2 linked regions of the Schizosaccharomyces pombe genome follow. Changing the gene in region 1 together with any one later gene gives a genetic interaction. Each region holds a gene or a part of one and is shown on either strand. Other genes may lie near its edges.

Region 1 (7,647 bases):
ATGATGCGCACAAAATAATCAAATGATTATCAACCCAATCATTCGTAAGAAAATACTCCAAGGTCGTAAACAAAATATTTTTAATCGTTTCTTCTGGAACAAGGATTTCCTTAGACCCAATGCACGCTCTTATCATATCCCAATCGTTTCCTGGGTTTTGCATAATAGCAAATACTGCTGTATCATAGTATTCTACTAATGTTTTTACCAAGGAAATTTTCCCCCTTAGTTTTCCATCAGCAAACAAAGAGGGAAGACTATTTAAAACCCTAATATTTTCCAGTTCATCAAAGGACACTGTGAATTGATTAGCAACATTTTCCCAAGGCTCAGAGAGATCCGCGTAATCTTTAAGAAGTAAAAGAATATCACGAAGCAAAGTAAAGGCTGGAGATTGAGGCCCAAGCTTTAAAATCGAAGAAGGCAAATCATTCACCAAATATTTTTGAAAAAGTTCCTTAACGGGTTTAATCAATGTAGTATCACTGAATATGTGACAAACAGTTATTAACTGGGATGCCGATAAACATGCAATACGTTCATTTTTGTGGGTAGACAATTTCATTAAAAATGACAAACAAGGTCCCAGAATCGACATGACTTCATTTCCAGTTTGAAAATTTCTATTTTTAAGATATAAAACTGTTTGAACGGTTAAGCTTAAGTTACGTGATAAAGAATCAAATGGGATAGTTTCAATGTCCATAGATTCATCATTAAAGAAACCAAATAACACTTCGTTCCAGAGCGAGGCGAAATCTGAATTTTTATCGAATACACTTTGCAAGCAATGATCGAAATCAGACGTTGAACAGCGTAGAACAAATTCACCTTTAAAATACCTGGTAAATATAGTCCTTAAACGGTCACGGACATGATCCTTAATTTGAGGATCGGAAGAATCGGTATAAACAAATGACAAGAAATTGAGTAAACAGTCATAAACTTCAGTAGATAGGAAACGTTGTTCTTGATTTGCAGTTTCTAAGAATGCATCACACAATTCGTCTACACTTTCAATGGAAGGAACGAGCTGCATAGCGCCTATACTTTTAAACAAATTCAGCAAGGATGTGTAAAACCCAGAATTAGGAAGGCTGATTCGCTTGGTGATCAAATTTGAGAACAACTTTGAAAGAGGACGTTTTGAATCATTTGCAAATTGGTGAACCTCGTTGGGGAAATTAGAAATCATGTTACTAAGAAGCCTAAGCATAGGGACGCAGGTCAAACTAGTTAGTCGTGAAATCATTCGTGAAACACGTTTAAAATATTTCTCTTTATATTGGGTAACAAAAGGTTTATCATACTTCAAGATAATGAGCAATAAATCGCTCAGGCTCACTGTGACACCATCCTGAGGTGAGGAAACCAAAGACCAAAATTCGTCAGACTTGAAAAGTGTAGACAAGTTCTCGTAAAGAGATGACTTAAAGGTTTGCTTATCTATCTTCTTATCTGTCTCTAGATTTTCTAAATCGGCAGTCTGTTTGAAAAGAAAAGAAAGGGTCAGAAGACAGCTAGATTTAACTCTGGTAACTTTCGATTCAGCTTCTTCATTTGAAAAAAAACGCAAATCCGTTAACGATTCTTTGTCTTCATGTAAAAAAACATCAGTGACTATAGGTGCGATAGTAGATCCAAACTTCAGCCAAACATGGGGCCACTTTTCTTCGGAGAGTAAATTTTTAAAAGAGTCTTTTGCTGATACAGAGACTGCACGATCTGAATCAAAAAAACCCATAACCCAAGGTGTGATATAGAATTTGAGCCATGGTGCAAGTTTTTTTTGAAGCGCAGAAGATAGAACAGACATGAAGACAAAGATTTTTAACCGCACATGTCGTTCCACTTCTATAGATAGTCGAGGAAATAAAACTGCCAAAGCATTTAGAAACTGTTCATTGTCAAACTGTGATGGGTCATTCCACTGAATTAAATCTTGTAAAGCTCGACATTTCGTTACGATGTCACGCTTTTGCAAATTCTTCACAATAACAATCATTTCTGCGTCTAAACCAGACAAGTCTGGAGGCTCATATATCGTACTAAAATTTGAGCTGGACTCATCCAACGCAATTTGCAAGGATGAAAACGATCCTGACATCGATTGCATCCCGGGATTTTTACGGCTATAAAGAGATTAGCATTTCGGCACATACATAAAGAAAAAAGAATCGTTGTATTTTTAAACAAACTTCCCCAAAATATGGAAAAGTATGGATTTGTAATAACATAGGTGTTCTGCATATATCCAATGAGAAAGACCCTATTTTGTGTGCAAACCCATTTTGTTACCATCTTCTCACATCTTTACTTACCCGTATAAATCCGTAGATTTTTTTTTCATCTTTTTTTTTAGTTTACAATGCAATGGAATGCAGCGGATCAATTTGGCACAAAGAATGAAAAATTACAAAGGAAATCAGATATCAGTCTGTCCGACGTTATCATAGGTTATTGATAACGTTGTTTTAAGCAATTCATTGTGGTATGCAATGCTTTATAAACTGATACTTTAAAGCTTAACTATTTGTGATGACGGAAAAGGAATTAAGTAGCTTGCTAAACTGTATATCATGTCAGCAATACTACACTACGCTATGATACACTACGTTGCGTATCACTATATGTCACATGTTCTAATTATATATCGTACCATGTATGATACGATATGGAGATTGATCTTAATGATAATCTATTAAGATCAATATTATCTGAATACTATAAATAGAGCTACTGCTGAACCTCGTTCCTCAGTTCAGTTATGAGCTATATTAGTGATAGGTAACATTATAACCCAGTTAATACAATACCTATACTCAGTTGCTACTTATACAACCTGTGTATTGTAATATAATAGATCACAAGGAAAACTCACCGCAGTTCTACGTATCCTTAAATCAGATACCAAACTGCGTAGCTTACATATCAGATTCTTTAATTGCAATCGCAAAACTTATTTAAAGTAACTTATCAAACGGTGTCATCTACAAAATACCTTATCTAATTTAAGGATGCAGTAAAAATACGATGATTTTTATTGCGATCTGTTCAATATTGCGTTAGTTACAGAAAACGTTGGAAACTTGGTTAGTATGATGTGACTATCCAGCAAAATTTAAAGATTTTACGCAAAAGGTTTATAGAACATAATTCACTGGTATCATAGGAATCAATTACAATTTGACAAACTGCAATTCTATAGAAGTCTTCAAACTAAGACATTGAATTATTAAGATATGCAACATGTGTAAGGTTGGCAACTAACGTAAATTATTTAGCATTGTTGCGTTAATGAAGTTTTACAGCAATCTCTAACGAGAATTTAGGTTTTACGCGCACGCCGTATGAAGGAGGTAGTACACTACGAAAAGAAGGACTCCCTTTCTACCGTGTCTTGTCTTGTAAAATTAGTGGAGATGATGCAAGTATAGTGCATAATGAATATTGCTCAAGAGGTTGCTGTTTTACAATATCTTGATATTCAGCAAGAAAATCCTAATGCTCCCAACGAAGAACTCTTCAATCGAACGGCAGAAAGCAGCCTGCTTTTAGAGCCAATTGAACAAGATCAATTAAAGGATCTGGTCGAGGAATGGATGCATGATAGCAATAAATCTGATTCAAAGCTTCTCTCCAACCAAGTTTCTCAAAACGATAATGATGCTCGAAAAAATCTACGAAAAAGGCTGCGGAACGATGTCCTAAAGGATTTGGCTGAAGAGATACAGGGATGTGAAAAAAAACTGGAAAGCTTATATGAAGAGGTTGCAAAGGCAAAGGCAAAAGCTGTGGAGGATCAACTCGCACTTGAAGAAGCTGACAAGGAAGCAAAAAAAGCGAAAACTGAAGCTCCTGTAGAGGCTGCTAATAAATCTCTTCGTTCTAGAAAGAAAACACCAGAGATTGCAGCTCCTGCAAATATCGAACCCGAAGTTGCACCCACAACTAAGACTCCAAAAAAGCGCGCTGCCCTGTCTAATGAAGAAAAGCAGTCTTTGAAAAAGTTCCAAAGTGCAATGCTTCCTATGCTCGACAATATTTCTAATCACAGGTTTGGAGCACCTTTTAGTCATCCTGTAAATCGTAAAGAGGCACCAGATTACGATTCTTTAGTTTATAAACCTCAAGACTTACGAACATTGAAGAATATGATCAAAGAGGGTAACATCACGGAAGTGGATGAATTGTATCGAGAAGTTCTTCGAATCTTTGCTAATTGTAAAATGTACAATGGCAGCGATCCAGCCAACGCCATGTCCATATGGGGAGATGAATGTTTTCGCTACACAGAAGAGCTTTTCGATATTTATCGTCAGGCAAGTACCCGTTCTCAATGAGTGTTTTACATTTTAATTATATTCCTTAACATTTTTTGTTTATGCTTTGGATTCATATCATTTTTTGGCTATAATTTTGACGACTTGGGGGTACATATTTTTTAAATGGTACTATATTTTATTTTTATCAAATTTATGTTTTTTTTTATATCATAACCGTGTATTTATTTCGTATAGATTCAAATCAAGTATGAGATAATTTACAATTTAGTTTTTTGTAACTATATAACAGCTGGTAAAAAGTTTCAACTTCCATACGTTCATATAAAAAAAAAATAAAATCTTCAATAGGTAAAATTAAGCGTTCTTCAATGTTGACTCCATTCTATAGTACTAAGATCGACACCCTCCTGAACCAAATCCCATAACGGGCTCATATTCCTTAAGAAAGAAACTTGTCTACTCACATTTTCAATAGCATAATCAATTTCGGCTTCAGTTGTAAATCGGCCAATACCAAAACGAATAGAACTGTGAGCATTTTCATCACTCTGACCAATTGCACGCAAAACGTAAGACGGTTCTAGAGATGCGGATGTGCAGGCAGAACCAGAAGACAGCGCGATATTTTTCAAACCCATAAGCAACGATTCCCCTTCTACATAATTGAAAGAAATGTTGACACAACCTGGATATCTAGATTTAGGGTCGCCATTCAAAGATGTATATGGGATTGCAAGAAGGCCATCTATTAATCTTTGGGATAGTTTGGAAATATGTGCATAATCATACTTCATTTCTTCTTTGCATATACGGGCCGCAGTACCAAATCCCACTACTTGAGATGGAGCAAGAGTACCACTTCGTAAACCTCGTTCCTGACCTCCACCACTAATAAGCGGCTCTAAACGTACACGAGGACGTCTTCTAACATAAGCGGCTCCAATTCCTTTAGGGCCGTAAATTTTGTGAGCAGAAATAGACATTAAATCAATGTTCATTCGATTGACGTCAATGTCAATTTTTCCATATCCTTGAGCAGCATCTGAGTGAAAGAAAACCTTCTTCTGTCGACAAATTTTGCCAATCTCTTCTAGTGGTTGACAAACACCAATTTCATTATTGACGGCCATTACACTTACACAAACAGTATCAGGACGTATGGCGTCACGTAATTCATCCAAATTAATAAGGCCATTAGTTTGAACAGGTAGAAAAGTAACTTCAAACCCTTCTTCTTGGAGAGCACGTAAGGAATCCAAAACGCATTTGTGCTCAGTTTGAACGGAAACAAGATGCTTTTTCCTACTTTTGTAAAATCGGGCAACACCTTTCAAAATAGCATTATTTGATTCAGTTGCGCCAGATGTAAAAATAATTTCTCTTGGATCAGCATTGATTACAGATGCTATCTCTTGGCGTGCATTTTCAACAGCTTTTTCTGCTTCCCAGCCATAGGCGTGTGTTCGACTATGTGGGTTTCCATAAATTCCAGTGAAGAAGGGAAGCATACTATCTAGTACACGATAGTCGAGAGGAGAGGTAGCTTGAAAATCCATATATATAGGATGCAATCCCGTAACCGTACTAGCAGCGGTTTGTGCTTGATCCAAAGTTACTGTTTTCAAAGAATTTTCCGGTATGGGCTCTTGAACCGCCGTCATGTTTCCTAGCCCGTACATTTGTTCACGAGGTTTATTGCTCATTGAAGGTTTGTCCATACGACTGGAAGTCATAAACGACCTACCGTAAACTCCAAGACTCTGTCTAACATTATTAATATCCTGACTCTCTCGCTTGACAAAAAATAAAGCACTTCGTAGTTCAAGAAGGCATCTTGCTCTAGAAAGCATCAAACTTCCCATTTTGGACATGGTTGTTTCCAAAATAGAGGAAATTTTGCTAATTCTTTATTTATTTCCTAAACAACAAGAAACAAGTCCTTTTTAAAATAATTTGGCAGTTGCTAAGTTCAAATTTTGCGATCTGACTAATAAAAATTTTGGTTGGCGGCGTATCTGAAACCAACCAAAACTAAGCTTCGACCCAATACATGTAGAGCTGCGCAATTATCAGTATGTTATCATTGCATCGTAAACGACGGAGACACTGTTCAATCGAATAAAAACTGTAATAAAGAGCATAGAGACGAGCAAATTAAAATCAAATGTTTGCCTTATATTTACTATGTTTTCACCTCATCTAGATAAAAATAAAAATAAAAATAACGAGACGTTGCGTAGTATACTGTATTTGCGATTCGGCACAATTACAGGAAACGATCAGCATTGCTGCGAAGTATGCTACGTGAATACGGAGAAGGATGGTTAAGGGAATTTGAAAGGGTCAGACATACCAACTACCAGAATTACTTGATGAGCTGGAAAGGGTTTACAAAGGCACTTGCGCGTACGCCGCAGACTCTACGCAGCAAGTTTAATGTTGGAGAGATTACCAAAGATCCTATTTATGAGGATGCTGGAAGACGGTTTAAGTCTTTAGAAACGGAAGCGAAAAAGCTGGCTGAAGACGCCAAAAAGTATACTGATGCTATTAATGGGTTATTGAATCATCAAATTGGATTTGCCGATGCTTGTATTGAAATTTACAAGCCTATTAGTGGGCGTGCTTCGGATCCTGAATCGTATGAGCAAGAAGGCAATGCGGAAGGTATTGAGGCTGCCGAGGCTTACAAGGAAATTGTATACGATCTCCAAAAGAATTTGGCTTCTGAAATGGATGTTATCAACACTCGCATTGTCAATCCAACTGGTGAACTGCTCAAGATTGTTAAGGATGTAGATAAGCTTTTGTTGAAACGCGATCATAAGCAGCTGGATTATGATCGTCATCGTTCATCTTTCAAGAAACTTCAGGAAAAGAAGGATAAAAGCCTTAAAGATGAGAAGAAGCTTTATGAAGCTGAAACCGCCTTTGAACAATCTTCCCAAGAATATGAATATTATAATGAAATGCTGAAGGAGGAGTTACCTAAACTATTTGCATTGGCTCAGAGCTTCATTGCTCCCTTATTCCAAGGATTTTACTATATGCAATTAAATGTCTATTACGTTCTTTATGAAAAGATGAGTCACTGCGAAATTCAGTACTTTGATTTCAATACCGATATTTTGGAATCGTACGAAAGAAGACGCGGCGATGTTAAAGATCGCGCAGAGGCTTTGACGATTACTAAATTTAAGACCGCTAAACCGACGTATAAACGACCGGGTATGGGACCGGGTGGTAAAGATGCAACTGCTTCTTCTTCTTCTTCCTTTTCGTCAAAGCGTGAAGAAGCAGCAGCCGAACCCTCCTCTTCGACAGCTACGGATATTCCACCCCCATACTCAACGCCATCGGT
Region 2 (4,490 bases), 2.2 Mb from region 1:
ATCAAGCTTCCTTCAGACAATGTTCGTTTTGTAACATTGAAACCAAACAAGTAAGTATGAGGATCTTAATTTACAATTTAAAGTACATTTTCAATGATAGCAATTGAAATTGTTTTTTGCATAAGGAGATAGAGGTGATCTAGTTTATCTCGTTCATATTGATCTTACTGACTTTATATTAAATAGTACAATTCACCTCGGAAAATTTGGTTCATTTCTCGCTGATGATTTGTTTGGAAAGCATTTTGACGAAACTTTTGAAATTTATCAACCCAAAAAAATTCGAGTTTTAAAAACAAGGGAGGTACAGTATATCGAGGAAGAAAAGAAAACGAATCAAGAACTTAATGATTGTCGAGGCAATCAGCTTATGACTCAAGAGGAGATTGATGAACTGCGCGCAAACATTAAAGCTGGTGGACTTCGTGCTGAAGAGGCCATCAAACAGTTGACTAATAGTAGTAAAACTTTTGAGCAAAAAACTTTATTTGCTCAGGAGAAATATGTTACGAGAAAAGGGGAAAAGTATCTTCAACGCTTTCAGGTTTTACGACCTTGTGTTGAAGTTGTGGCTAATTACATGATTGAACATGATCCGTATAAGATACTTGATCTTACTGCCGAGTGTATAAGCTTGATGCTTACTCTTGGAAATGTTAAACCTGGGGGTAGATATTTGGTAGTTGATGAGACTGGATGCATGTTCCTTGGTTCTCTTATTGACCGTGTTGCTGGTGATTGCAAAATAACCCTGGTCCATCCAAATGAGCAACCTAATAGCTCTTGTTTAGAGTATTGGGGGCAAGACTTTAAAGAGGATAGTTTGGTTCAAAAAGGGATTTTGAAAACTTTGAATTGGTATCAAGTTACGAATCCAACCGAGACTTTAAGTGAGTATTCGGTTGAAGATATTCCTGAATCAGAGTTGAATGAGATGAAACTTCGCCACCGTAAGCGCTATGAAACGAAGAAAGCTACATTTAACCGTTTGAAGAATACTATTGATGATTTTGAAAGTGGTAACTATGATGCTCTCTTTATACTATCTATTCACACCCCAATGTCTGTTCTTCAACATCTTCTTCCAAAGCTCGGTATATCACGTCCTTTCATGGTATACTCAACATATCAGCAAGTCTTAGTCGAGACGTATCATCAATTATCTAAATGGGATAACTTATTTGTAGAAAAGACAGCTCAAAGTACTGAAAATGACGAAAAGGTTGATCAAGGAGACGTTGCTATTGATACACAGAAAGAGAAAGTCATCATGCTGGATATTCATGAGATTCGTACACGACCTTACCAAGTCTTGCCAGAAAGGACTCATCCATTCATGACTGTTAGGGGTGATATGGGTTTCGTTTTATCTGGGATCAAGGTGTTAACTTCTGACAGCAATCTAGCTGCCGGAAGGTTTCCAAAACGTAAGGGCCAGAAAGAAACTTCTTCTGTCAAAAAAGCAAAATTGGAAAATTAGATATGAAATATTACTTTTGGAATATTTTTTTCAAGGCTACTCTATTAGATCAACAAGGGGAGTTACAATTTTGGACATAAACTCAGTTACGTTGAATTGGGAAAAGGTTTTTGTTATATTAAAAAGTTTTTTGTTTCATTCTTTAACTTAAAATTTTCATACGTATCAGAAAATGAATATGTTAGTTGGATAATGTAATTGACGGTGCGGTTTCAGGTTAACTCAATTTTGAAGAGCGTTAAAGTACAGTGTCTTTTGCTTGGCATTTTCATTCTTTTTAAAAATAGATTACTTGTAATAAGTATAAAATTAGTTACAATTTGACTGCTGCACATATACGTATTTAAGTAAAATAAGTAGTACATGGTCAGAGCAGCTGTGGATAGCCTTTTTGATCTTAAGCATGTTAATTTTAAATAAATATAAAAACTGATGAAAAAACAGCTTATAAATGACAATGTCGCATTTTGGTCTTATTTACTCGGTATAATGAACCCCATACTAGCGCTATCGCCAAGTTCGTTAATTTCGAAAGGACACCTAACCACGCTCCTTTCACCACTAAGCTTTACTTCGTCGAGTTTATAACCAATGACTGAATTTATTGGTTCTCGTATTAGTCTAATTAGCAAATCTGACATTCGGTACGTGAGAGCATTATCTTTCCTTTACTAATATTTAGTTATGTGGGCATTTTGCAGGACATCAATTCCCAGGACTCAACACTGGCTTTGAAGCATGGTAGGTTGAGTACCCAGCATTGATTACTAACAGTTTAGTCCGTTGGTGTGGTACTGAAGGAAGAAAACAAGATCCCTCTCAAGAAATCCCCCCATCAGATAATGTATTTGATTACATTGTTTTTCGTGGAAGCGATGTTAAAGATTTACGGATTGAGGAACCTGCTACTACTCCTTCTGCTCCCCCGGTTCAACCTCCTAATGATCCTGCAATTATTGGGGTATGTTACGTCTAAAGAGTGGTGGAGATTCTCATTAGTATATCTAGTATTAATTATCTTTGGCACTCTTTATATATCTGACAAGATCATGATTTTAACTATAATTAGTCTAATAGCGGGCAGTATAATTGGAACCAAGCGCAGACTGCCCAACCTCCTCAGCCTGTTCAACCTAACCCTTATGGAGCTCCATACCAACAGGCTCCTCCAGCAGGTGCACCTTACTATATGTACCCGAATGCTCCCGCTCAATTTGTACCTCCTGGAGGTTTGCCTTTGGGTACTCCCTTAGACGCATCCACACCTGCGGTCCCGTATTATGGGGCACCTGATCAACAGCAAATGGGTCAACGTCCTGAGTTTGCTCAAAATGTTTCTCAAGGGTTTGCCGGTCAGGCCCCGTACAACGTACGTCCTGGATACGGAATGCCTTCAAACCAGAAGCCTCCCAACTTTGCTCCGGGCATGCCTGCTCCTGGTCCTACCGCGGTATCTGCATCTCCGTCTCTTCAATCCATGCCGCCCACGAATGGAGTGATACCAGGTGCACAGCCCTCCATTGAAGCATCTATTGAAAAAGAAAGTACTAGTATACGGAATTCCACTGTCACAAATGACCGTGTTGTGAATACTACTGTGGATGTCTCTCAATCCCAAACCGTTGAAACATCTGGACCTTCTAAAGAAGTTCCTACAACTCAACCTGATGCTAGTGCTGCAAAGCCTCGTACCGAATTTGACTTTCAAACTGCAAATCAAAAGTTTCAATCGATGAAAGATGATTTGTTAAAAGGAAAAAATGATGAAGAAGCCGAAGAATTTTACAAGCCTAAGCAATCTTTTTTTGATAATATTAGTTGTGAAAGTAAAGAGAAGGGTATGGAAGCTGCAGATAGAAGAGCTCTACGAGATCGCGAACGTTCTTTGAACATGGAGACATTTGGCGTTGCTGGCTCTGGAAATCGCGGCCGTCGTGGACGTGGTCGTGGACGTGGTGGTAGAGGTCGTGGACGTGGATATGCAAGAAATCAATATAACCAATACAGGAATTCCAATGGCTCTCAACCTAGAGCCCAGCCTGCAAACGACCAATGAACTGCATTTCTTATAATGAGTACAGATGAAGTATCCTCGTTTCTCTAGATTGAGCTTCGTCTTCGTTTCAATCATGATGAACTCAAAATTTATGGACATGTATTTAACGACCCGAAAAAAGGTGTTCTCTTATATAAACCAAAAGGATTAGTCGTTGTTATTTGATATTTAACTTAGGAGTTTTGTTAAGTTCTTGTAGAGTGCTTTAAAAACTATACTTATCTGCTCATGTATTACGCAAGAAGAACAAGCATTGAAACGATATCCTATACCGAGATTTCGTAAAGGTATTACGAATAAATGTTAATGGGTTACATATAATTACCAAAAGGTTGAAGACTTAACCAATCCGCTAATGTTTATTCTTTTATACACCTTGATAGACCCAAAGCATCGCTGGTTGCATGACTGAACATTGAACAACCCGTGTTTTTCAACAGTCGTTTCGTTTTTGAAAAGCGTTTTGTAAAAATTTGATTCAGTCGACTTGTTTGAAGCTGACAAACTATAGAATCCAAACAACAATGTTTGAGCAGTATGAACAATTTATAAGCGAATCGTTTTAAAAATAAAAATGTGCTCTCTTAATTTTAGCATTTTTTAATAGTTTAAATTTCACGAACTTAACTACGTGATATAGTGTTTTAATAATCAGCAGTAGAAAAATTAGAACTTAATATTATTTGATCATCAACGAATATCGGAACGCAAGAGTTAACACGTAAACGATACATTACAATTATGTTTTGTTATCAAAAGTAAATTGATCCAGCGATTGAAGCTAAACCAGAGAAAAACATAAATGCGCTTCGAAATAAGTTTTTAAAACCCCATCTGTGAATTATACTGCGGAAATTTTGAGTAGCCTTTACATCTTTAAGTATTAGATCTGGATTTAACGTTTGTAAAGAGTTAATGTCCTTTTTCATAAACAAAAGCGTGAAAGGAATAATA

What was found. A genetic interaction does not mean that the proteins touch.
Region 2: mutations in bdc1 (region 1) and sum2 together harm fitness more than expected from each alone (negative genetic interaction), as found in Schizosaccharomyces pombe (2 studies listed by BioGRID).

What each region holds. Positions count from the first base shown.
Region 1 is NC_003423.3:2,421,270-2,428,916, reverse strand, and holds bdc1 (bromodomain-containing protein 1), read left to right. Parts: upstream 1-3,392; 5' UTR 3,393-3,443; coding exon 3,444-4,343; 3' UTR 4,344-4,502; downstream 4,503-7,647. Other genes in the region: rkr1 (ubiquitin-protein ligase E3), read right to left, coding at 1-2,132, 2,322-2,350; cysteine desulfurase Nfs1, read right to left, coding at 4,652-6,157; BAR adaptor protein Hob1, read left to right, coding at 6,659-7,647.
Region 2 is NC_003423.3:265,419-269,908, forward strand, and holds sum2 (translation initiation inhibitor), read left to right. Parts: upstream 1-2,037; 5' UTR 2,038-2,071; coding exon 2,072-2,124; exon of another isoform or gene 2,125-2,162; coding exon 2,163-2,221; exon of another isoform or gene 2,222-2,259; coding exon 2,260-2,441; exon of another isoform or gene 2,442-2,549; coding exon 2,550-3,536; 3' UTR 3,537-3,990; downstream 3,991-4,490. Other genes in the region: trm6 (translation initiation factor eIF-3 gamma subunit Gcd10), read left to right, coding at 1-50, 187-1,480; SPOM_SPBC800.14C (uncharacterized protein), read right to left, coding at 4,289-4,490. UniProt on the Schizosaccharomyces pombe protein: Required for G2/M phase checkpoint control.